Linked DNA regions of Astyanax mexicanus. The protein of the gene in region 1 purifies or fractionates together with the protein of each later gene. This does not show direct contact. Links are inferred from orthologs where the notes say so. Each region holds a gene or a part of one and is shown on either strand. Other genes may lie near its edges.

The links.
Region 2: the proteins of slc9a6a (region 1) and mblac2 purify together in Homo sapiens (co-immunoprecipitation; 3 studies listed by BioGRID and IntAct, counting the BioPlex papers as one, with this or other methods). This does not show direct contact. The link is inferred for Astyanax mexicanus from reciprocal best matches to the Homo sapiens genes SLC9A6 and MBLAC2.

Annotation. Positions count from the first base shown.
Region 1 is NC_064417.1:46,678,801-46,691,992, reverse strand, and holds the start of slc9a6a (sodium/hydrogen exchanger 6a), read right to left. Parts: upstream 5,378-13,192; 5' UTR 5,220-5,377; coding exon 4,940-5,219; intron 2,956-4,939; coding exon 2,756-2,955; intron 2,379-2,755; coding exon 2,301-2,378; intron 1,639-2,300; coding exon 1,562-1,638; intron 1,477-1,561; coding exon 1,364-1,476; intron 31-1,363; coding exon 1-30. Other genes in the region: mmgt1 (ER membrane protein complex subunit 5), read left to right, coding at 9,000-9,078, 10,563-10,615, 10,720-10,823, 11,673-11,829. UniProt on the Homo sapiens protein: Endosomal Na(+), K(+)/H(+) antiporter. Mediates the electroneutral exchange of endosomal luminal H(+) for a cytosolic Na(+) or K(+).
Region 2 is NC_064429.1:22,497,071-22,510,021, forward strand, and holds the start of mblac2 (metallo-beta-lactamase domain-containing protein 2), read right to left. Parts: upstream 5,688-12,951; 5' UTR 5,570-5,687; coding exon 5,128-5,569; intron 1-5,127. Other genes in the region: polr3g (DNA-directed RNA polymerase III subunit RPC7), read left to right, coding at 6,056-6,166, 6,476-6,605, 7,242-7,310, 7,390-7,495, 7,871-7,996, 8,948-9,260; lysmd3 (lysM and putative peptidoglycan-binding domain-containing protein 3), read right to left, coding at 11,518-12,183, 12,495-12,758. UniProt on the Homo sapiens protein: Acyl-CoA thioesterases are a group of enzymes that catalyze the hydrolysis of acyl-CoAs to the free fatty acid and coenzyme A (CoASH), providing the potential to regulate intracellular levels of acyl-CoAs, free fatty acids and CoASH.

The DNA.
Region 1 (13,192 bases):
GCAGCTCATTGAAGATGGCCAGGACTGTCACTAGGAAACAAAGTTCAGAACACAAGCTTTAGTATTAAGGATCAGATTTAGAAATCATACTACCTGTTCTGATCCAGACAGGCTTTAAAACAATTAGGTATCAGCTAATTTACACCCAACGCATAACCATTACTTTTCCACAACTACACTAGTTGGCAATTTGACATTAAAAACAACAGTTAAGAAAAATGTAACATTTTACCTTAATTAGGATTAATGAATAGTTACTTTAAAACATGATTAACATATTTTTTTTCTTTAGTTAGGGTTTTTTTAAATGTCAGTTTCAATTAATTATCAATGAATTACCCAGTCCACAGCCTTTTTATTTTCTAATTAGTTCCCAGCATGTTCAAGCTAACGCACCTCAAGCTAACGCACCTCAAGCTAACGCACCTCAAGCTAACGCACCTCAAGCTAACGCACCTCAAGCAAATGCACCTCAAGCTAACGCACCTCAACCTAACGCACTTCAAGCTAACGCACTTCAAGCTAACACACTTGAAGTAGTACTTAAAGAGTTAAGGGTAACTTAAAAATTCACAACAAAGGTTAACAATCAACTTTTCCCTGAACTATAATTGAAATTATAAATAAATATGACTAAAGCTGTGTTGTTTTACATAAGTTGTGTTTGTTTTTTGTTTATTACAATACGTTTTTCGACTGCCTAATGTTTAGACAGGCCAGTTATCCTTCTGTCAAACTGAGGAAAACATGTCAGCTAGCTTAAAATGCAAACTAGTTTAGCATCTATGCATCACTAAATTCCTTAAGAAAGGACATGTGTTGTAAATTACCACACTGTAAAAATAACAAAATGAACATTAGAGAAGACGTTTTCACAAGTATCCATTAACTTTGGCACTTTTTTGCATAAATACCCTAAATGTATTTTAGTCTTCATTTAAAGAAAAAGCAATTACAAAACTACTATTAATTAAACATTTTCAACCTCCCAGCATACATGACAATAAAGCATAATCTTGTTCAATATAATTTATTACATTTATGATTTTGCTGTTTTCACCCAAATCAATTTACATTTTAATTTTCATTTACAGCGTTAAGCTGACACTCTTATGAAGAGCAACTTAAATGGTTATTTTTATTACAGAGGAAGGCCAATGTAGTGCCAATAGAGTCTGCCCCAGGGACTCTTATTGGTGTAGAGCAGCACCCAGTCACCCAGACCGGGAATTGAACCCCAGTCTCCCACATAATGTGGTAGCTCACTGGCAGGAGGTGCCGCACCAACCACCACTGCCATATATTCATTGCATTGCTAGTGAACTTCATTTCACTACATTTGTGAAAATAGCATAAGACGCACCTGGGTCGGTAGCTGACACAATGGCACCAAAGAACAAGCAGTCAGTGAAAAAGAAGTCCCCATCCATTTGGCCAATCTGCTTCATCAGCGTCACACAGCCGTACATCAGTAACCTGAAATGGCAGCAAAAATCCTCCTTTTAAAATGAGCTGCTGAATGCTGGTGAATTCAGAAAGGCTGTTTTAAAAGTGCACAAACCCAATGATGAAGCAGGACACCACTGTTCCAACAAAGGCATACGCCAGGATGGAGCCCATGTTCCTGAAGAAATGTCTCTGAAATAAGGTGAAAGACAATGAATTTCACTAATAGATTATAACAGGGTTCATACACTTTTTAGCCAATAAATTTCCATGATTTTGTTTATGATTTTCCATGCCGTCAAGGCAACTTTTCATGACAATATGATTTAAAACATCAGTGCAGACATGGACAATAAAAGCAAAAAATCACTAAAACTATAATTAAAATTTACTATAGTAGGCCTAAAATTAATCTGATTAAAATCTTTAATAATAAGATATGTGTCAGATCCTGAAAGGTCCATTGCGTAGGGTTAAATTACTGAATTACTAAACTCTGTGCTGATGTATTTGTTAGCTCAAAATAGATTTTTTTTTTCCATCGATAAACAGAAACAGAAAGATTTGTAAACCAAACTTTCATAGTTTAACCAAAACTTTCTGAGTACATTTATTTTTCCAAAACTAATTCAGGCCTGGAAATTGCTATTTTCCAATTTCAAAGACATATGGCAATTTCCTGGCTAGTTTTGCTAGTCTTGAGCATTTAATTCTGGTATTTATACTTCAGACAGTCATGAATCTGATGCACTCGCTTCAAGTCAAGCTCTCTTAAATCTAATTATGTGGCCAGTTTGCTACTTAGTGTGACGTAGTCTAAGCTGTCCCAGTCTAAACAAAAGAAGAGTTCATACCCGTTTGAGACTGTACCCAGCGTGAAATATGATTGGAGGCAGGAGAATATTGAAGAACACTTCAGGGTCAAAAGTTACCTAGAAGAGAATAAGATATGACACACTGATAAGACTGTACTACAGTCAGGTCAATATAAACACATTACTTCAAACTGTTTGAAACATGTGATGCATTACCTCAGCTCTGACATGTGACACACCAGCAATCAGAGTTTTTGACTTTGCAGTAAAATAAGGCTAACAGCATTAAATGTCAACAAGAATAGAAGGCTGCTAAACTAAAATGATACACATTATCGAGTCATAGGGTTATAAATACAGTGTTAGACTCATCTGATCCACAAGAAAAGCAGAATAACACTTGAAATGTACTAAATCACTTAGTAAAGGTGAAGGAGAATTTTAGAGAAACCCTTTTTTAATATATTTTTTTCAAATATAAGTAATTCTTTTACCTTACGAAGCATCTCGTTGTCCTGAACATCATTGATTTCATTGGCACTGATCTCACCCTTTAACGTATACTCATAGAACTTGCCACTGACGTTGACCAGCAACGTAGCTGGACTGGAATTGACGTGGCAGCTCATAGTGACGTTGTTGATGTCTCGAGGTACATGGATCCCATAGCGCAGCACAACCCCAACAAGCAATCCTAATAACACAGAATAAACGAGTCAATATTAAATACTCTACTTGTTTTCTTTCTTCTGTTTTATATTAAGTGGCCTGTGTGGTTTTACACAACACCGAATTTTAATGTTGGTTTAATAAATTACAAAATGAGAACCTCATCTCTTCTCCTTTTGAGACCAGCTAAAATGGGAAATCTAGCAAAAATATCTCTCAAACAAGATTTAATATTTTTCACAACAGACATGCAATGACTATCAACACCACATATAAAGCATTTCCATACAATTGTGATTTTAACAAGTTAACTGTTCTGGGCTCAGTTTACCTAAAACCATCTTATCAATAAACCAGCTTAACATTAAGATAGAGAGTGCTCAGTATGAAGTTTGCTCAACCATTTAAGATTAATTTTAGTGCTAAGAAATCCACCCTTTCGTAAAACCCACCACAGGCTAGTGACAGTGTTTGGGACAGTGTATTAAACACCTTAGCCTCAAAGCTTACAAATCTTTAACAACAGAAAGTCACACAAATGGCAATAGCAAACTGTTTTAGCCTAAAATGCCACCAACAATGCAAATCCTAACTCTGCTCAAATCACAGAAGGAGTTTTTACTATTAGAAACTTTCACTTCCGATATCAGCTATGCATATTTACAAGCAGGCCGGTCATGATAATTACTTTATTGACTGATTGTATACAATAAATTGTCATGATCTCAATAAAATTTAATAATGGTTAGCATTGAATTTTTACTCTCTTTTATCTGAGAGACATATGGAACTACAATTTCTTCTAGTAAAAAGCCCTTACTGATGTTTCCCAACAGCTTATACTGTTTTACTGTAAAAGAGATTATTGATGATAATCTAAGGAGGAACCAAGAAGCAACATGTTTTCTCTAACTAGCTAAAGGGCAGAGATGTATTCTAGATGGTTCTCCGGCAGAATCTTTGATAGCTAGATTACTGTAGTCATGTCCAGCCTCTTATTTAACACACTAATATCAGTATATGGCGTGTGAACAGCAGCTGGGTCTATAGTTGTAAGGTAAATACTTGTCAGCGTAGGTGTTAGGGTCACATTTTCATCATAATAACTAGAAAAAGACACAGAAGCGCTGAGGACTCTAAAACCATATAAATAAAAGCCTTTTCTTTATAGAAATAACATATGAAGCCAGTGAAAGTGGTAAGTACTGTTTTATACCCCTCAAAAAAAGGGCTGGTTGACCCACATGACAATAGCTTTAGCCTTTATCTCAGCTTATTTACATTGGACTTAGTCTCTTCGGTTTCAGCAGTGAAGAGAAAACTTAGAGGTCTGACAGGTGAGTTGAGGTAGTAAAGACTTTAATAAGATGAGAAAATAAAAAAGCAGCTTGTCTGTGCCACACAGCACTAATACTGCACTACTAAACATAGTAATACAGCTCTGTGAAAAGAATTAAGAGACCACTTCAGTTTCTAAATCAGTTTCTATTTATAGGTATGAGTAAAATGAACATTGTTATTTGTTTATTGTATAATGTACCGTGGACAACATTTCTTCCAAATTCCAAATAAAATATTGTCATTTAGAGCATTTATTTGCAGAAAATTAGAAATGGCTGAAATACCAAAAAGATGCAAAGAAAACACGTTCATATTCATATTCGTTTTAAGAGTTCAGAAATCAATATTTGGTGGAATAACCCTGTTTTTTAATCACGGTTTCTATGCTTTTTCATGGCATGTTCTCCTCCACCAGTCTTACACACTGCTTTTGGATAACTTTATACCACTCCTGATGAAAACATTCAAGCAGTTCAGTTTGGTTTGATAGCTTCTGGTCATCCATCTTCCTCTTGATTATATTCCAGAGGTTTTCAATTTGGTAAAATAAAAGTAACTCATCATTTTTAAGTGGACTCTTATTTTTCCCAGAGCTGTATCTTCAGTTAGATCCTGGATGCTGAATGTAAACATCCCCCACTCTAATCAGCAGCATCAGCCGCTCTTACCGTAGATCATGGCCAGGCCCGTCTCGTGTAGGAACCTGAAGCGGCGGTGTTTGAAGAGCCATATGGTGAGGATGGTGAGGGTGAGGAGCATGATGAAGATCAGCAGGTCTGCGCTGTCCTGTCTGTGGCTCTCCTCAGCCTTCTTCTCAGTCACGATGTTCTCCATCGCGCTGTCCTCAGCCCCGCAGCCGCGGAACAGCGCGCACAGGCCGGCTAACAGCGCCAGCAGCAGCGCCCCTCGAGCCCCGGCCGCCGCCTTCACTTTCCCCCCGGATCCCATGCTCGCCTGTCCTGCGGAAGCTGCAGGTGTGAGGGTCGCGGGTTCGGCGGAGGATCAGTAAACCATAATAAACCCGCAGGAGGAAATTTCAGCTCCGGCAGAAAAGGCTGAGCTCTGTTCCTGATTCACAGCCGCTCCGCCCCGCCCCCTCGCTCTGCGTCACCGCGCTGGAGGAGCGCTCCACTGTTACTAGCGCGCGTTACTGCGGCGCACGAGATGCGCAGCCACTGCGCAGAATATTTTAATATAATTTTATATAATATTATAAAATTTTATATAATTTTTATATTTTTATATAATTTTTAAAATGTACTACACACTTGGTCTAGGGCCCGAAATGTTTAACAGTCAATGTGCAGTAAAATATACATTGTGGTTAATCGACTAATAAAAAAAACCCATCAGATTAACAAAACAGAGACATAAGGTAAACATAAATAATGACTATTCATTATATATGTTTACATTATGTCTCTGTTTTGTTGTCTTCATCATTTGTCTTCAACAAGTAACATAAAAACAAGAGGTACAAATGTAAATAAATAAAGCAAAAAAAGTAATTTGTAGATGTTTGTATGGCTGCAACTAATGACTATTAATCTGATGATTAATCTGATGATTTTTTTTCTATTAGTCGATTAACCACAATGTATATTTTATTGCACATTGACTGCTAAACATTTCGGGCCCTAGACCAATTGTGCAGCTTTTAAAAGTTTGATAGAAACTATATTATAGGAAACATTTGCACAGGCTGGATGTAATTTTCAGGAGATTCTAGGATATGTATATGTTTTCAATTGAGATGTAAATATTAACAGATATGTAGTTACTATAACATAATTTTTAATGGAGCGGACAGAATACAGTATTTCCCTAACACTTAGCCAGGTAATTTAACTAGCATTAGTAATCTTAATGAAGGAGTTTAACCCACTATATATGTGTCTTCCTCACTTACCCCTTTTTTCTTTCGAATGCTCTCTCTCCCGCACACTCTCTTTGCTCCTTCACGCATTAAAGGTGCGTCCACAATTAAATTCTGTGTCGACAATTTTTTATAGTCTAGTCGTTGCAGCTAGATGTTTGGTAGAATATTTATTTATGGTACAATGGTTCGTTTGGCAATAAATCTTATTGCAGATACTAAAAAGCCTGTTAAGTTCCCTTTTAAAAGGACACTAAACTTCCTGCTGCTGTAGCTCAGCCAATCAGCTCTTTCTCCTGTTCTGCCTCTAAACCCATACATCACCCAGTGCCCTGCCCAAACTGCCCATTTGTTGAGATGATTGTTGCTAAATGTTGAATACTTTTGTACTTTTTGGTACAAAATCCTGTAAACATGGTTGTGGAAAAACTCTGTGAAGTGTAGGTCTTCTTCTTACAGTGGTGGCCTCACTTTGCTTTGTTATATTTTTGTAACTTTTTTAAACTGCTTCCCATATCGTCGCTGTCCTATGAAAAACACTTATGTCCAATTTTTAGTTTACTACATAATTTGAACAGACAAACTGTCCCTTACACTGTGTCAAAATTTCTTAATGAACGGACCAATAGAAACTCTTCAAAATGACCTGAAATATACTCTTTTTACATTGACTTCCACTGAAAGTTTACAAGGTTTTTTCTCTCTCCTGTAAAGTTGCTGTTTTAGAGATAAGTGTTTTACATTGGACAGCGACAATATGTTTTTCACTGCTGTCATATTTTCCTTCTCTGTATGACGTTTGTGAATTCCATAAAACTCTTTTTAAACAGCCCTGTTTGTAGCCAGATGTCCCCCTGAAGGACCCACAACATTTTATCAGCAATACAAAACACACCAGGCCCTATTAGGAATAAAAACATATTTTGAATTTCTCTTTTAATAAAAAGGAACACCCCCAGAACATGGGATTTCTGTAGAGGAAGTGAAGGGACAATACAGGAGGCCCTTAATTCAGGTCAGGTACTTTTTAACCAGACACTGTTTATTCATTCCACACAGGCTCTGGCGGAACCACAGCGGAGAGGTCTGTGATAGAGTCTGGCATTCAGACAGAAACTGAGCACGCTCTGAATGAAACTTTCATGTGTTTTTTCATCTTGTGCTCCAGACAAATTAAGGCCACAGATTAAAGACGGGTGTTTGTAGTAGAGAAGAGAGCCACACCAGTGTACAGTGTTTCTTCTTTATCTCATAATTAATATACTTTAAGTGTACCCCAGGTGTTAGATCATGGGGGTGACTTTAAGACTTTTAGATATTCATTGTTTAAGAGCTTACAGCTGGGAAGCAGCAATGGAAATAAACTAAGCTTTGGAAATGGATTTTTAAAAATGCAGTCTTGCAGTATTTGAACAGAACATTGTTACTGCATTCTCTACTGAAGCATTAAAACAACAGACAGCACATTCACACTTTCATCATGATAACCAGAAAAATGCACCTATGTAACTATTAAAAGAAGAAGTCTTTTCTTTAGAGAAATTACAGATGAAGCCAGAGAGCGAGAGTACTGTTTCTTACACCTTCAAAAGACTCTTGGAAACTGTAAAAAAAGAGCATATTGTAAAAAAAAAAGAAAAAAGATATTGTTAAAAAAAAGAAGGGTTTATTTTTTAGCAAACAAGTCATTGGTTAACAGCTTACAGCTGGTAAGTAGCAATGAAAATAAAGCCTACACACACACACATATATATATATATATATATATATATATATATATATATATATATATATATATATATATATATATATATATATATAATATATATAAATATATAAATAAATATATAAAAAATATACATATATTTATTTATTTTTTATCTATCTATCTATCTATCTATCTATCTATATATATATATATATATATATATATATATATATATATATATATATATATATATGTGTGTGTGTGTGTGTGTAGGCTTCATTTTCATTGCTACTTACCAGCTGTAAGCTGTTAACCAATGACTTGTTTGCTATATTGTCATATATAAATATATATACTTTCAGACCTGAATTACCTTCAGTGATGGAAAAAATGTAAGAATGCTGTTTTCTCTGTAATGCACAGAAAAGAAGACTCTAATATTCTACTATAAAACCTATATAAGCAAAAACATCCAATAAACTAAAATATTAAACAGGGTTTTTATTTCCATTGCATTGGAACCTGTGTGTAATATATTTCATTATGATCTTTAATCTTTTATTTTTAATATTTCATTAACCATCCTTAAACAGTAAAAAAAATAGCAAAAACTAGCTGTTACTTTGCCTCAATGGCTGTAGTATTACTGTTTTCCCAGTGTTTTTGCAGTGGGCGGGGCCTGGTTCATGGTCTATTTTAACGGACAACAGCAGCTCTTAAATAGTGTTATGAGCAACAAAACATTTAAAAATAGAGAAAATACACGATGTTTTAATAGATACACGGTCTGAAAGGGTTAATATATGTAATGGATTGTTTTACGTGTGGTTTCTATTTAATTATGGTTTCTATATTATGTAAGATATTGAAAATAATACAATCACCCCTGTGCATTTAATAAATAAATATATATTTAACAAAAATATATATAGTATTCTTCAGTACTAGAAAATGCATGTTCATGCTAATAACGACAGGTGCCATTTTTAAACCGTTAATATTTTTCAAAATAAAAGCACGGAGGCTGAGGCGACATGTTTGGCCTGGATTTCTACTCCCGACCAAAACTCTTATTTTGACAGGACGCTGGGTAAGGGATGCTGCCCGTTGCTCAGTCAGCGCTCAGTGCTTCACTCAGTGGAAAATGGCTTCGTCCTTTTGGAAAGGCGTCGTTGGTCTGGGCCTGTTTGCGCTGGCCCACGCAGCGTTCTCGGCGGCACAGCGTGAGTAGTGGTGCGGGGATCGGCTGTGGGGGCTTGTGTTAAATTTTCTAGCTTTATAAAATGGTGTATACGGGCTTCGTGGCCTGTAGAGCTGGCGGGTTAGCTTAGCTAGCCGGAGTGCTAAAGCTGCGCTGCGGACTTAACGGCGGCGGCAGCAGCAGCAGCAGCGCGTTCAGCCAGACCCTCAGTTACAGCTATAGCTAATTATACAACTTACATTGAGCAGCTTTAACAGTCTACACACTGATATTATTATACTTATTTATACTGTAGTCAGCTAGTTTTAGCTGTGTTTATTTCACGGCAGACTTTATAGATTTATACGTGTGTATGCGGTTCAGGCTAGATCACAGCATTTGCATTAGCAAAAATGCTAGCTAAGCTATATAAGCGCTTAGAAGATAGATACTGGCTAGTTAACGCTAGGTTAATACAGTAGGATTTGTCTCATGTAACGTTAAACGTTAATTAACGTCTTTTTGAGGGTCAATTAAAATAAATGTCTAGAGAATATGGTGTTACAGTTAGTTAATTAGCTAAGTTAATGATGTCAGCTATAATTATACAAAGCTATAGCTATAATTACTAACTTACATTGTGCAGTTTTTACATTTTATTCAGCCATTATCATTTTTATTTTAATGGTTAGATACTGAAAAAGAATTTTGATTAAGGAATGCAACTAATGATGATTTTGATTAGTCTGTTGATTACTTAATTAATCGATTATTCTTTGGATATAAGGAAAATATGTTTATTAACTCGTTGTAGCCCCAGGCAGCATTTTAGAATGTGGCTATTTTATTTAATGTCATCTCTAAAACAGTATTTTTTAAATTTGTAGTCCCAGAGCAACATTAAACAGTAACACACAAAGCAGTATTTGATTAAAATTCTCAAGAAATATAAAAATGCCATAGTGTTAATATAATTAATTCAAGCTATATGTAATATATTAGTTCAAATATTGTTTTTATAATGAAATATTTAAGAGAACCTTATTGTATAAGGAACAATTAATCATTAGAATTAATAATTGATTTAATCGATTGGTTGTTTTAGTCCAAATTTGATTTCTGGTGAAATCTGTTTAAAATTACTGTATTTTTGCTTATATGTAAATACGTATCTTAGAAATGTATTGCAATGTTATTTTTCCCAATATTGTCCGTCTAGTCGTAGAAAATTGGGCCAAAATTTATACCACAATATATATTCTGTATAGTATTTCTAGCTATAATATAATTCCAATATTGATATGAACAGCATAAAAAATATGAATTTTGTTTGTCATGTGGAAAACTGCCTAAGTGCTTTTCAGAAAGCAGAACAGCTTCACTGGCAGAGAGGAAAGATTAGTGCTGTCATTACAGAATGATTATAGATGGATCACATTTCAGCATATTCCCAAAAAAACCAAAACCTTTTGTTCAGCTTTTGAGGACATTTAAAATTGATCACACCAATTGTGTTTTTTTTTCTAGATCGATCATACATGCGACTAACAGAAAAAGAAAATGAGACTCTTCCAATAGATGTAAGTTCTTTTTCTTATCATTTTAAATGTTAAATGTGTCAGTTTGGTAAAAAGTGAAATTTTGGAGTTATTATTTCTGAAATGTGTTTTTATTCTGTTTGCAGATAGTCTTACAGACGTTATTAGCGTTTGTGATTACATGTTGTGGAATAGTCCACATCTCTGGTGAGTTTAAAGACATGGACGCTTCTTCAGAGCTCAAACACAAGTAAGTCCAAGTAATAATAATAATAATGTCATCTGAACTCTAAGGCTATGTTTACACAGAAAGTGTAGTGACCCAATACGATTTTATCACCTAATCAGTTGTTTATTTTGGTTTGTGCACACTTTTTAACTTGACCTATATATTACATTTGCCTGAATAGCTGACACTGTAAAACTGATGAGCAGTGCTTCACATAAAGTTTCAGTTTCATCTTTACCAACATCGCAGGAGCTATCAAAGAGTTTCAGTGGCTGCGGCTGGAAAAAAATCAACTACGGTTTAAATCCTGTTTATGTAGTTTGTCATCAGCTACCAGAGCCCTGAGAGAGCCAATTGGCCTTGCTCTCTCTGGGTTGGTAGATGGCGCTCTCTTCCCACATCACTCGTAGGGTGATATTGATCAGCATAAGGCATCTGTGAGCTGATGTATCTGAACCGAGTCGCTGCACTTTTTGCGCTGTGATGATACTCGGAAATGCTGCATCAGCAACAGTTTTAAAAGAAGTGGAGTCTGACTTCTTATATATCGGAGGAGGCGTGTGCTAGTCTTCACCCTCCTGGTGTTGGGGTGTCATTAGTGATTGGGGGGGTCCCAATGAGTGGGTAGAGTAATTGGCCTTGTAAATTAGGGAGAAAATAGGGGGGAAAAAAGTTGAAGAATTTTTAAAGAATTTGAAATAACATACCACATAATATATCCCTTGCTTACAGTACCGCAGTGTATCGCCATGTATTGAATCGTAAGCCCTGTATTGTGATGCGTATTGTGTTGTCAAGTTTTGCCAATACACAGCCCTATTAACAACATTACTCACCTTTTTTGTCTTTTTGCTCCCCCCTTTTTCCCAGGACATTTGACACGTTGAGAAACCACCCCTCTTTCTACCTGTTTAATCACCGAGGCCGGGTGCTCTTCAGCTCACCTGACCAAGAGGCTGCCACTCCGTCTCCTCAGGCCTTGCCCTCCAATCCCCTGCGGTTACGCAAGCTGGAGAACTTTCACTGAGACTAGCCTTGAAAGGGCTGCCTTGCCCGTTTTGCCCTTTTCTCCTCTCTGCATCAGTAAGCTCCTCGGTTGGAAAGGGAAGATCAACCTGTTTTTCCTTTCACTTCTCTTCGTGCATATGTGACTATGCTGTACAAATCTGCATCTCTTCATCCACGTGATTATTACTATTACTTACTACTACTACTACTACTTCAAAGTCTTTGGACTGTGCCAACTCCTCTTTTTTTTCTCCCTCCAACTCCTACATTTGTTAATGTGGTAGTATTGTGTGGGAGTCTTAAAGCTCTGAAATGCACATCTGTTCCCCTTCAGATGGCAGACAGAGAAGAGTGACGTCATCCTGCTGTTGCACAAGGGGCACACATCCCCGTCACCCTTACCGTTTGGTTTGCCACAATTCCTGCTGTGCTGCCATGTTTTACTGAAATATGTTTTTGGATTTTTTTTTTCTCTACTCCATGTGATCTGCTCAAAGGAGGCTGATACAATGGACCATTGCTTGTATGTGTTTTCAGATATTATGTATATGACTGATGGACTTCAAAAAATAGCATTTCGTATGCAAATAATACTATTTAAGGATTTAAGGTTAGAGAAATTAATAAAACGATGTCTGGTCGGGGGAAAAGAGAAGTAAATAGGTTTAATAACGACATTAACAATACTGTGAACATGCAGCTAATGGTACACCTGACTTTATTGGGTGGGTGGGAGCACTGTTTTGTTCTGTTTTTGTTTTTTTCATTTGTTTTATGTTATGATGCATCTGATTATTTCTAACTTAATAAAATAAAAACTGAGATTTTATTGATGCATTTGGACCTAAACAAGTTTGCTCTTCGTCACTGACCCAGGGATTCTCTTCTGTCTGGTCATATGACTGATTCTACCACGGTGTACGGTAGGGATGCACAGAAATTACGGCCAGATTTTGGCCAAAACTGATGGTCTATGCCTAATCTCTGGCTAGATATACACTGATTTTACTGTTTACCGTTGCATAGATTTAAATAGCCTAAAAAAGCATTTTAAAAATCTGTGTATTTAAAGGAACAATAAACCCCTTGATTTTAGCTGACTCCACCCTCAGCTCAAATTTGAAAAAAATTAAAGGGGAAGTTTGGAAGGGGCACTGGGTGATGTATGGGTTTAGAGGTGGGAAAGGCAGGAGAGCTGATTGGCTGAGTTGCAGCAGTGTGCCTCTGTTAGTGCTGAGGCGTAGTTGATTGGACGCCAGCAGGAGGGCGGTATTCTTGATTGACTGATCTGCATATTGTGATGTGTCTGAGTACCAAAGTACACAGACACATCATTCTTGCCTATAGCACAGTTGAACCTGAGAGACAGATGGAATTTTTTT
Region 2 (12,951 bases), on another chromosome or scaffold:
CTGCAATGCAGCACTGACACAGCACAAGCTGCATTGCCCTGTCCACGAATTCTTATAGGGGAGGGAAAGAGGAAATTTGGTGGTTTGTTTCCTTGGGAGATGAGAGTTAAAGTGCTAAAACTCATTGTGCATGCTTTTATTTACTAGGTACATGAAAAAAAGACACTTCAGAAGATTACTGAAGGATCTATCAGTGTTTTGGGCCCATTATCTGTTGCAGATCTTTCAGCTTGATTGATAGATTGATCTCCAATACCAATCAAGTGTAAAGCTGCATGCCACATTAACCTTTCCAGGCACACTTGGTAACGCATAGTCGTGCAGGTTATTTTTTTATGTTTTCCCTTAGCATTAAATGTACTTTTGTACTTTTTTTTAATCAGCCACATTTCAAAATCATCTGTAAAACTCTTTACTGCTGTTTGTCAGCCCTACTGACAATCACTGTACTTTTGAGGGGAATATCCAGTCAGTGTTGTTCAACTCTGCTTCCCCTACAAGGCACATTCTACAAATATGTGAGTTTGAGACATAAATGTGAGTTTGGTACATAATCTTAACTTACTATTATTACTAATATTTTTATAAACACACAGAGCGCAGGGATTTCTACACTAGATAGTAGTAGGCTAAATCCCTATCCGAACGGGATTAATTTCTCAGGAGGATGTCTGTGAAAAATATTTCATACTTCTTCTCAGTGATAAAAACTCTTGTAATTGCAATTAAAAAAACAGGAGGACTAGTGAGATTTTTTTGCTTTCATGGTCACGTGCCATTACGGTGTAATTACGGTGCTTGGCAGTGGACAAATAGCTACTTTATTAAACGCAAAGAGACGAAACTCAGAGATGTGCCTCCGGACGGGACTAAAATTACCAGAGGACCACAGAGTTCAGCGAAAAAAACAGTAGATAATTCAGCCTGTAATTTTCTCAGAGGACGTCTGAGAAAAACATATACATGGTCAATCCGGACGGGAATAAAATCACAGAGGACCCCCCCATTAAAAAGAAAATGACCCCAGGACGCCCTAAGAAACTAATCTCGTCCAGATAGGGCTTAAGCTGGCCTTTGGTAGAACTTGGTCATTCTAGTTGTTGGGATGCATGACGAAATCAGAAATATATTGGTATCTGCGTATAACTGCTTTGTTTAGAAATCATTGGTGTAAGCTGATATGGCCAATATTTAAAGACAACACTTGCTGACATGCTGACAGAGCTTTCAGACCTCAAATAATGCAAAGTAAAAAAGTTAATATTCACATTAATATTCAGTTTTAAGAGTTCAGAAATGAATATTCTGTGGAATAACCCTGATTTTTAATAACAGTTCTCATGCATCTTGGCATGTTCTCCTCCACCAGTCTTACACACTGCTTTTAGATAACTTTATGCCACTCCTGGTGAAATAATTCAGGCAGTTCAGCTTGGTTTGATGGCTTGTGATCATCCATCTTCCTCTTGATCCGATTCCAGAGGGCCACAATTCCCACATTGGTGCATCCCTACCTTTTTTAGCTTGCTCAGCTTAATTATGCTTGTAGACCAGCTAAATTATTAAACAGAAACAAAAACATACCTTATACTGTTAAAAACTAGGCTGGTCAAGAAGCCTAACAAGTCTGACTAGCTTGGGCTGGCCATGCTGGTTTTTTTTTTTTTTTCGGCTTTGTATGACAGTGCTGTGAAATTAACTGATGATAAAGGTGATGGCAGATGAGCTTAAATACATCCCTACTGAAATTTGCATTTTGCTTTGAATTCTGAAGGTATTATTATTACCATCTTACAAGGTGTTACTATCTATCCCATTTATTGCCAACTTGAGAAGCTAGTAAGAGCGTACTACACAGGAACGTTTGATATGGTTAGAGAAATCACACTTTATGTTGGAAATTCGGGCTGTACGATATTGGAAATGTTTTTTTTTCTGCATTATATATTTGCATTACAGATTTAGAAATACAGGAATTTGTGCTGGGTGATATGACATTAAATCAATATGACAATTAACTGAATATTTTACTTTAAATAACAACATATACTGTATTGTTCTTTAGTACAAGATGACAGGGCAGGCTCATGAAACTACACACACAGTAGTATGTCATTAAGGGGACATGCATGAACACACACACAATGAGGAAATATTAACAATATTTAAAGTAAAAAATGAAACAATCCACCAACATAATGGTCAAGATATCGCTCACAGTTTCAATTTTGATTATTTTTAATTATCTGCCCTGCCCTAATCCAACTGCATAATTAATAAAATTATACAGCTGTCCAATATGGTCTGACACAATACTATTGCCAGGATGTTGGACTATTGTTAGAAATACTTTAAAATATTGTGATATCATTGTAGTGTCATATAAGCCATCAGGGTTTCAAGCACTTTATGCTAAGGATATTACAGAACCTATAACAAAAAAGGCTAAAATAAAGTATAATATCATGGGCATATTTATTATTCTTGCACTGGAAGCTACACTGTTTTGCAGCACTTTCTCTGGTAGAACTGTGTAGCCCACCACCTCAATACACCACCTTCAGACAGATAAAGAAATCACATTAGGCCATATTAGACTTGGTTCTCAAACCACAGGCATTCTCCTTTTAAGACAAGCGCAAGTAATCTGATTGTGTTTGATTCCTCTCCAGATCTTACAAGGCGGGTCAGAATGAAGTCATGCTGCGATGCTCTGTTTCCCAGAGCTGAACATGGAATACGCCTGTACTGCAGATTTCAGGGTTTTCTGCTCAAACACGCACATTTAACCTCATTACAGCCTTTTTAGAGAGCTGAAGAGTGACACTAGGCTTTTAAAGAGCTGAGAAAACACTAAAATGTTCTGTGAAGAATATCCAGGGTCAGGAAATTGAGACAGATAGCAATCTAGATTTGATCCTGATGGTCTGCTAAGATTGAGATCAGCAGAAGATAAAAAAGGCTAATACAGTAATCACTAACGCTGCTCTAGCAGATCTCAGAAACAACCTTAATCTACTCCACTACAACCATCTTAGTATTTGCCTACAAGAATCCATGATTAGCTGCAAGCTAGCTTCTGCTGGTGGCTAGTTTCAGATGGGTTTAGCAGATAGTCAAAATATATATTGCTATTGCAGTATATTAGTGCATAAAAAAAAAGAATATAAATGAAAAGTTATTTTATTTTAGTTATTCAGTTCAAAATGTGAAACTCACATTATATAGATGCATTACACGCAGAGTGATCTATTTTAAACATTTATTTATTTTATTGTTAATTATTATGGCTTATAGCCAATAAAAACCCAAAAATCAATGTCTCAGAAAATTACAATATTATATAAGACCAATTGGTACATTTGGCAGTGTGGGCAGTGTGCCAAATCCTACTGGAAAATAAAATCTGCATCTCCATAAAGAGAAAGCATGAAGTGCTGCAATATTTTCTGGGAAAACACTGCATTGACTTTGGACTTGATATAACACAGTGGATCAACACCAGCAGGTGACATGGATCTACAAACCATCACTGTGAAAATTTCAAATTAGACCTCAAGCAGCTTGGACTGTGTGTCTTTTCACTCTTTCTCCAGACTCTGCTCCCTTGATTTTCAAATGAAATGTAAAATTTACTAATGATCAGTGATAATTTGGAGAGACATGTCATCTGCTGGTGTTGGTCCACTGTGTTATATCAAGTCCAAAGTCAACTTTTATGGAGATTAGGATGCAGATTTCATTTTCCAGCAGGATTTTGCCCACACTGCCAAAAGTACCAACTGGTCTTATATAATCTAATCTTCTAAGACACTGATTTTGGGGGTTTCATTGGCTGTAAGCAATAACCATCAAAAATAAAAGAAATAAACGCTTAAAATAGATCACTCTGTGTGTAATACACAGATTGAATTGAATTACTAAAATTAAGTTACTTTTCAATTATAGTGAGATGCACTAGTATTGTATAGTTTCGACTGTATTGTATTATAACAATGATGTAGCATCAAATATCTATATTTTATTCATTTTTTTCGCCCCCCAACTTGACTTACTAAAGTTGCTGCTTGGTTACTCCAAAAAGTGGCACTAATCAAAACAATATGATAATTTAGCTGTGAAGAATATTGGTTGTCAAATTATGTGAAACTGACTGTGAAACATCTGGTATTTGCTTATTTAGGAGTACTTTTTCCTCTTCAGTAACACTGATGCAGTGAAATATCTTTATCGTGGCCAACGAAACGTGATATATAGTAAATATGTCCCGTGATTCCCACTATTAGACAAAAAAAACAGTTTAAATTCTGGACATCTAGATAAAAACATACCATATAGCCAATTGATAAGCTAGCTGGTTAACTACCCAGCTGGCAATCAACGTTGATGAACATAGATGTTATGGTTGAATCGACGTTGAATGAACGTTGTTTTTGAAAAGTGAATCAACGTTGATATGGCAACGTTGTTTCAACGTCATACGTTTAACCTTTTATAAACCATAGCTCACTAAAATTAGAAAATCCTATGGTTAACAAAGTGTTAACAATAAACTTACATCACTGTAGTAAAGCTGAGTACAAAGAAAGTTACCCAACACTACCAATCTGATTACTGAACATCTGATCTCAAAAACACTACAAACAGTAAAACTATTAATACATGAACATGATGTTAAATTAAAATAGAAATAAAACACCTTTTCATTCCTCCATCCAATTTTTAAAAGAAATTCTATGGTGATGAAATGTAAAATGCTGATTCAAAAGGGAGAAGGTTGAGGACATTATGTTGATTCTACGTTAAAATTCCAACTTTAGCACAACCATTGAACATTAAATGATGACGATGTAACGTTGTTTCAACGTTGAAACAACAACAGAGCTTACTTAAGTCATATTTCAACCACATTTCAACGTTGAAGGTCGGTTGTGTGCCAGCTGGGTAGAGGGAACTAATGATGTATTTTATTTTGGTAATGTTGGTAATGCTGGGAGACCAACGTGGTCCAGCTTTGCCGTCCTGATTATCTAGTTTATTCAGGGTTTTCATGCTTGAATAACCCCTTTAAAATCTAAGATGCTGCTGGCCCACACTAATGATAGGCTACATAGCTAGGTGACACACCTTCCTGTAATATGTGAGTAGGCATCACCGCCTTCACTTTGTACCGCCTGGCCGTCCACCCAGGGGACGGGTTCTCCACGATCTCGCGGTCAGACAGCCAGGTCACCGTCTCGAAGTTGTCTCCATTGGCCAGGGCATCGACCTCGGCCTCGTGCACGCCCACCTGTTGAAACTGGTGCAGCCCACCCGAGTGATCGAAGTGGACGTGCGTGCCGATGGCCAGCAAGGGCTTTTTCCGCTTGGCGTCTTCCCCCAGCAGGCCTTTGGAGCTGATGTACTCGGGGAGGCTCCGTAAGCCCAGGCCGGCGTCTATCACCACGTCCTGGTGGGATCCGCGAAGGAGCCAGATGTTAGCCCTGTTCCCCGACTCGTAAAAGCGCTCCTGGATCCAAAACACGCCGTTATCCAGCGTTTTATGAGCGTACCAGTCCATTGAAGACATTGACGCTGTCGTTATTTGCGAAAAAAATCGATTAAACAGCCGAAAAACTGCGATATTCCAACAGAAATCCTGCTACCGAGCACTGCAGCAGACGCCCGCAGCCATGACATTAGCTACATTAGCAAACAGGAGGGCGGTGCAGCGGTTAACGCCCCTTTCTTTTCTCAGGGCAGCGCTGATTGGAGGACGTGGGTGCGCGAGGCAGAGTCAAGCTGAAATACGATTGGTAAAACGAACTCGAACAAGCCCCGCCCAACTCTTCAGCTCACATATAAAAAGCACGCTCTCAACGCCTCTGAAATTCATTTAAGATATTCGGAAAAAATCTGTTGAAGCTGTGAAAAATAGGGATACATTCTGTAATCATGTGAACGACGTTTTACTCTCAAACTCTACTAAAAAAAAGTTGTTTTGGACGTTGTAGCTAATAAAAATAGAATAATAGTGAGAAAGAAAGAAAGAAAGAAAGAGATATAGAGGACCATCATGGCAGGGAGAGGCAGGGGAGTAGCAGCCTTTACCTTCAACATAGAGGCCCTGGGGCTCAACAGAGGATCCATGCCTGAAACCCAGAGAGGCCCACGACCCATGTTCCCTGTGAGTCTATAGTCTATAGTCCTCTGTTGTCTCCTTTGTTTGAATTCTAAAAGGTTCATTTAAGCTGGCTGCTAAATGCTTAGCTCAAAAACTTTATAATGTTTGAACACCATAAAATACATTTTTGAAAGTTTGTAAGAATTTAAAAATGTGGAAAAAATTATGTGTTCTGAATGTCTGTCTCATGCTAACCCTACTGTGCACCTACATATTGAGAAGGCAATGCTAAAACGAGATATATTGTTTTTATTATGTGCCTGGTTACACAGATGCTACGTCACAGTCCCAAACTTTGCATCTCTTCTACAGGAAGTCGAGTTCAAACCTGTGCCTCTAAAGGCTGGTGAGGCTGAAGACTACATGTTGGCTCTGAAACAAGAGATCAGAGGGAAAATGAAAGGCCTGCCTTTCAACATAAAGCCCCGCTCCAGCAAGAACAGTGAGTTACGCTCTCTCAGATTTAATCACAGCAAGCTGTAATGCATGGCAGCTGTACAGCTGCAGCACTTTAGATAAACCTTTTTAACCACACAACAGCAGGCAGAGAGGTGCGGAATCCCTTCACACCTCTGTTGTAAGGGTTGTGAACTGTGGTCCGGTTCTTCTTCAGTGTAAAACAGTATAACACTTAAGAGTATTATCAGCCTTTAAAAAAAGAAGAAAAAGAACCAGGTACTCAACAATAGAGGTGCAAATGCTTAGGCAGGTGATCTCTGTATTTACTGTAGCTGTAGATTAACTACATGCATTTATTCACAAACAAAAATAAAAGACATTTGAGGGTAATGCACACAAAGGGAGTCTGATTTTGGCAGAGAGGGGTAATTCAGCACAACACCTGGAAAGGCAGCTTGCAGAACTGAAAACATTCTGCAACACAGTGTGAAGTATAGAGAGATGTAGCTGACATACTGACGATAATGATGACAGGATGTAGGAAACTTATTTATTCTGCTTAGCAAACTGCAGTGTGAAACTGAACCTATCTGGACTAACTGGTGTTATATTTTTATAGTTTAAACATGAAGCTGTGAAAGGTGTTTGGACATTTTGTGACCTTTTTTTTTTTTTGCAGACGTTGAAAAGTACAAGGAAAAATACGTCAAGGAATATAGTAAAATTGGTGATGAAGAATGGACACCAGGTATCATCTTCACCTTTTAAACCAAGTGTATGATTGTTTGATTTCATATAAACAAATTTTGTCTCAATCTGATTTGCAGACTGGAACCGTCTTCCAAAGGAGCTCATGCCCCAGAAGAAGAAAATCATAAGAAAAACTGGTGCATGCACTTCATTTACATGTGTACATTTTTGTCAGATGTTACGGTATGAGTGCCATTTCTCAACAACATGACCTTTTTACAGATTCTAAGAAATCCAAATCACTTTCGAGCAATGATAAGGAGGTCTTACTGTCTAAACTGGATGTAAGATTTTTTTTTTTTTTTACATTTGTTTTGCCTTCTTTTCTTAATTTTTGTCTAAAATGGATTTGAAAATTACAAACACCTTAAAACAGTTTTCCAGACAGGGATTAAGCTAAGACTTGGACTACACAGCATTTTAAATAGGGATTTTTACATTGAAAAGAAAATCTATGACCAGGCTTAAACCCTGTCAGGAAAACCACTCTTTGTGTATTAATTTAATTCTTAAAATTAGAATAGATCAATTCTCTATCCATTTGGTCTGTTTTTAAAGGAACTGGAGAAGAAAGGGGATGATAAATCAGACGAGGAGAAAGAGGAAAGTGGCAAAAAGAAGGCTGGTGAAGAGGATGAAGAGGAAGTTGAAGGAGAGGAGTTTGATGAAGAAGAGCTTGAGGAGGTAAAAGCTTAGTAATGACTGTTAAACACCATGGGACAGTTTTCCAGACAGGGTTAAGCCTAGTCTTGGACTAAACAATATTTTGAGTGGAGATTTTCCCCTATTGAAAGTTATATATTGTACAACCTGGCTTAATCGCTTTCTAAAAAATGCCCCATATGCTTTGAGTATTTTTAACAGATACAGCCCTGTTTCATTAATTGAAAAACCGCAATATCAAACTGAGCTAGATTTTTGTATTTATTACTTTTGTATTTATTATTAATATTATTATTATTATTATTATTAGTAGTAGTAGTAGTAGTAGTAGTAGTAGTAGTAGTAGTAGTAATTAGTAGTATTACCATTTCTACTAACAGAGGTATTCTTTGTTGCTATCTTCAGTTAAAGTATTAACATAATAACCAGTGTATTTATCATAAGCTCTCTACTGTCCATTATAAACTCCATATTTTACATTTATCTCATTCTATGAAAAAGCTTTTCAAAATCCATTGTAAAGCAAACATACATACATGTGCATTCCAGGTGACGTAGATTGTATTCAGTGAGTTTTTTTGGGTGAGTGGACAGATGGCACATTTACATGGCCTTTTTGGTTGATTTATTGATTCTGTAACTCAGCAAGGTTCTGATCATCGTGCTGCCTGTAAAATAATATTTTAGGGCAACATTACAGATGCCATGCTTGGGTTATGTGGGCGGAAGGACGTGTAGCAGAGTCCAACGGAACTGGTTCACTGCCTGGTTCACTGTATCTTTACCTTCTAGTGTACCTATAATTATACCTAAAAAGATTTAATATTCACACATTATGAATTATATATTATATATATATATTTTTTTTTTAACCTACAAAATCAAATCTGCATGTTGGAACACAATCATTAACTGTTGTGAATACACTATGGAATGATCTGGGAAATGTTGCATTCCTTCCCCCCCCTCCAGGAGAATGACTACATTGCAAGCTACTTTGAAGATGGTGATGATTACGGAGCTGGCAGTGATGACAATATGGATGAAGCCACATACTGACTTGTATTCTTCATCATTTTCTGTATTCTGTTCTTTAAAAGAGACTTATATCTATGTTCTGTGCAATTGTGTATTAAAGTACAAACAAGATTTGGAGATTCAGGTACTAAAATATAGTTCATTTATTTTCAAACTGCAACTACGGTCTATAGGCCGAAGGCACATACTGCTCAAATTCCTTGTTGAACAAAAATGTCATGGTCAAGAGAAAACATTTACAATATGAATTTCCATTTAAGTAATTAAGAAACAGTTCAAATCACTGACCCTTTTTGCACCTGGTCACTTAATGGGACTAGTATCTGGATTGAATCCTAATTAAATTGATTTAATATTAGCTGCATGTGAGTATACTTGGTAGTCAAATGTGTCTCCGGTTAGTCAGACTACAATCTGACTGCTTTGGGAGATGAAATTATGCAAATTTACAAATTTACATATTGGGAGGAGTTGTGGTGGTCAAATGTCAATGTCTCAGACCACCTCTTGAAGCAGATTCATTTTAGTTATTTGTTTTAAATGCATATTGGGTGTGTTTACACTTCTATTTTTCCATGGCTGCTTGGCTTTATATAATCCAGATATAATCCTGATCCTCAAAGTGCATTAAGTGATCAGGTGTAAACAGGGTTTGCTGTGTACTGGCACAAGTTAAATAAGGATTTCAAAATTGCAGCTGGCAGACAAAAGTTTCGAGCAAACAAAGAACAAAACAGCAACATCAATACTGATTTTTGTTTCTGTAACTATGCCCATATTCTAGAATAAATTAGTGTGTACGCATGTATCCCTGATGAGAGACCCCAACCGTCTCAAAGTGATGTTTTGAATAGATTGTTGTTTTTTTTGTTTACTGTTACAGCAAACATTTAATAATTACGTAGCTATACATCCGCTCACATGGGGGAGGATAAAACTGTGCAAAATGCAATAAGGACAATCGCCTGTGGGAGCTGAGCCAGTTCTATCTACTTCAAACTTCACACCAAAGCAGTACCAAGCTCAAAAACACATGGCACTGTTCACATCATTTCAATCAGTCCAGCTATGGCATGAGAGGTTGATAATAGTGTCACAGAGTCTATAAATCATCCCTCATATTAAAGGACGAGTTCAACAGTTTTGAACCAAACACACTGTCATTATTATAATTCCACACCAATCACACTAGGAATGCCTCGACAGAGGAATTATGGATTTATGCACATGTACAGCTGTCTGGAGAAACATTCAAGTAATTAATTGACCTAATTTGTTAATTAGCACTGACTGATCAGATCTACATTCATATGAAATGTGTATCAAGTTGCTTTATATGCATTTTAAGAATAGTTAATCAAGTTAACTGTTAACTTAATTAACTTAGTTAATTAAAATGGTGTATGGTATCGGTCATGTATTTTTGGATTAGGTATTCTCAGAGTATAATCCAATCCAGTCATTTTACAGATCTAATCTGATACAGTAAAATTTAAAAAAGGTGGAATCAGGGGTGCTACTAGTTGTTTAGAATAAAAAAATCTTCAGATCAGACACCCCTGAAAAATGCGTCATAACCGTTTAATCCCCGCAAAAAAAACTCTGCCAGTGTTAGTATCTACCAATAGCAATAGCAAAGCCTGATGTTATCTTAGCTATCTTCCAAATCTTAGACTGCATCTGAGGTAGAGTAGGTCCTTGGTTGAACTGTCCTATGAAGATTATTTTTTCAGTAAATTAACTGATGTCTTTAATAATCTTAAACCCTATTCGAATGGGATTATTTTCTCAGGGGCATGTCTGTGAAAAATATTTCCCACTTCTACTCAGTGATAAAACTCTTACATCCGGACTGCAACTGAAGAAACAGGAGGACTAGTGAGATTTTTTGGCTTTCTCGTTCATATGACATCGCGTTCAGTAGCTCTTCCATTTCCTTCACTATTGTGTTTACATGTATCTCAATGGAAACGTGCACCCAAAGTGTAATTACGGTGCATGGCAGTGGACAAGTAGCTATTTTATTAAGCGCGAAGTGACGAAACTCACAAAAATTACTGGGTAATTCGGAAATAAATTTACCCCAGGACCCCCTGAGAAACAAATCCCATCTGGATAGGGCTTATGATGTAAAAGCAAGGCTGCAGGAAGTGCAGCCCACCTTTTTTACTAAAGATGTGTCAAAAACAGAGAGTTATGCCAGAAAACGTTGTCTATAGAACAAAGTCAAATTTGCTGAAACCCTTCTAAAAATGTTGATGTGCACTTCAAAACAGAAATGTCCCATTTTTATATATATTATCTTATCTAGCAACTATATTTTTATATAGAGAGAGAGATCCGGTTCAACAATATTGAACTCATCCTTTAAAAAAAAAAAAAAAAAAGTACAATACATATTACTTCAAGTGGTTCTGTCGAAGTAAAAAAAAAAAAATGCCACCAAAGTAATGTGTTGGTCCATGTCAACTGGTCCAAATTCCCAATTTGTATATTTCTATGTTTTATGTTTTCTGTCTCTGCCCCAGATCTGGTCCCTCAAGTTCAACAACTGGATGCATATGAGATTTCTGGTGAGGAACAGCCTTGGCCGGCGGCATAGCAGGAGGAGCACCAAAGGCAGCATGTGTAGGCTCAGGTCTAATGGACTCGGCGGTAGCGTGGTGACTAACATCCGACTTCATCAGCACCTCATAGTATAACAGGTAAAACACGGGTGTGACGATGCCAACGACGAGCATGATGGCCACTGCAGTCCACCACCTCATGCCCCAGTCTGCACCATAGTAGGGGTCCTTCCTCTGGACGGGCCTCCTCTCTGACTCTCCCAGTAATGGCTGCTGAGGGCTAAAAGAAGAAACCACCTCGCTAAGGCTGCTCCTGGAAGGACTGGAGGACTTGACGAGAAGTTCAATATCCTTGTCCTTCTCCTGCAGAAAACACTCAACGCTGTCAGTAGAGGAAGAAGAGGAGGGGGAGGGGTCCGTAGGTGGTTCAGGCAGCGGAATTTCCAAGACTCGGCGAACGCCACCGGGCGAGTCGCTTTTATATGGAGCTGTGTTGTGAGTTTCAGTGAAAGAGCTGAACCTCCTCACTGGGATCTTTATGGATCTCAGGGCAAAGAAGTCCTGCTCTGTCAGGAGATTGTTGGCTCGTTTTATGTCAGCAACCTGAGACACAACCAAAAAAAACAAGCGTTAATAACAGGCTGTCTAGTGTAATTTATGTATCCAGTTAATTACAGCCTATTGTTGTTGCAGTTGTTATTATTATGCAGTGCAGCACAGGACTATTTTAGTATAGTGCCTGTATAATGTTGAAAGGTTTAAAAAAAGTATACACGAGTGCTATTAAGGCAGCTTTTCAGGAACTTCTTTTTTCTATATGAATTTTGTTGTATGTTACCCTGCTACAAAAAACACAGAAAATGACAAGCCACAGAAAAATAAAACCCAGAAAAAAGAAACCACAGTTGACTTACCGAGCAGAAATACTGAAGAGAAATGCTAATCAATGTGTCGCCCTCCTTAATGTCCCTCATCACGTAGACAATGTCATCCATTCTCTCTCTCGAGGTACTCCTCCGAAGCCTCTCCCTGCCTCTGGAGCGAAGCTCGTAGCTCTCCACATCTTCCTCCGAGCACTCCGTCTCCGAGTTGTTCCCAAATATATAAGAGTGTCCTCCCATTGCAGGCTGCACCACTGTAGCAGACTGGAAGCCATTATACTGGTTCCTTCCAGTCATTTTCTTCCTATTGGCAAAAGCAGACAGCATATCAGTACAGTGCAAATACAATAAAACGCATCTTATCAACAGATAATGATTCACAATATGTACTGTTCCAATACACTGCACCTGATTGACTGACTAGTCACAGATTTAGTATAAGCATTAGTAATTAAAACCCAAATTGTAAATAACCTAAATTTATATTTCA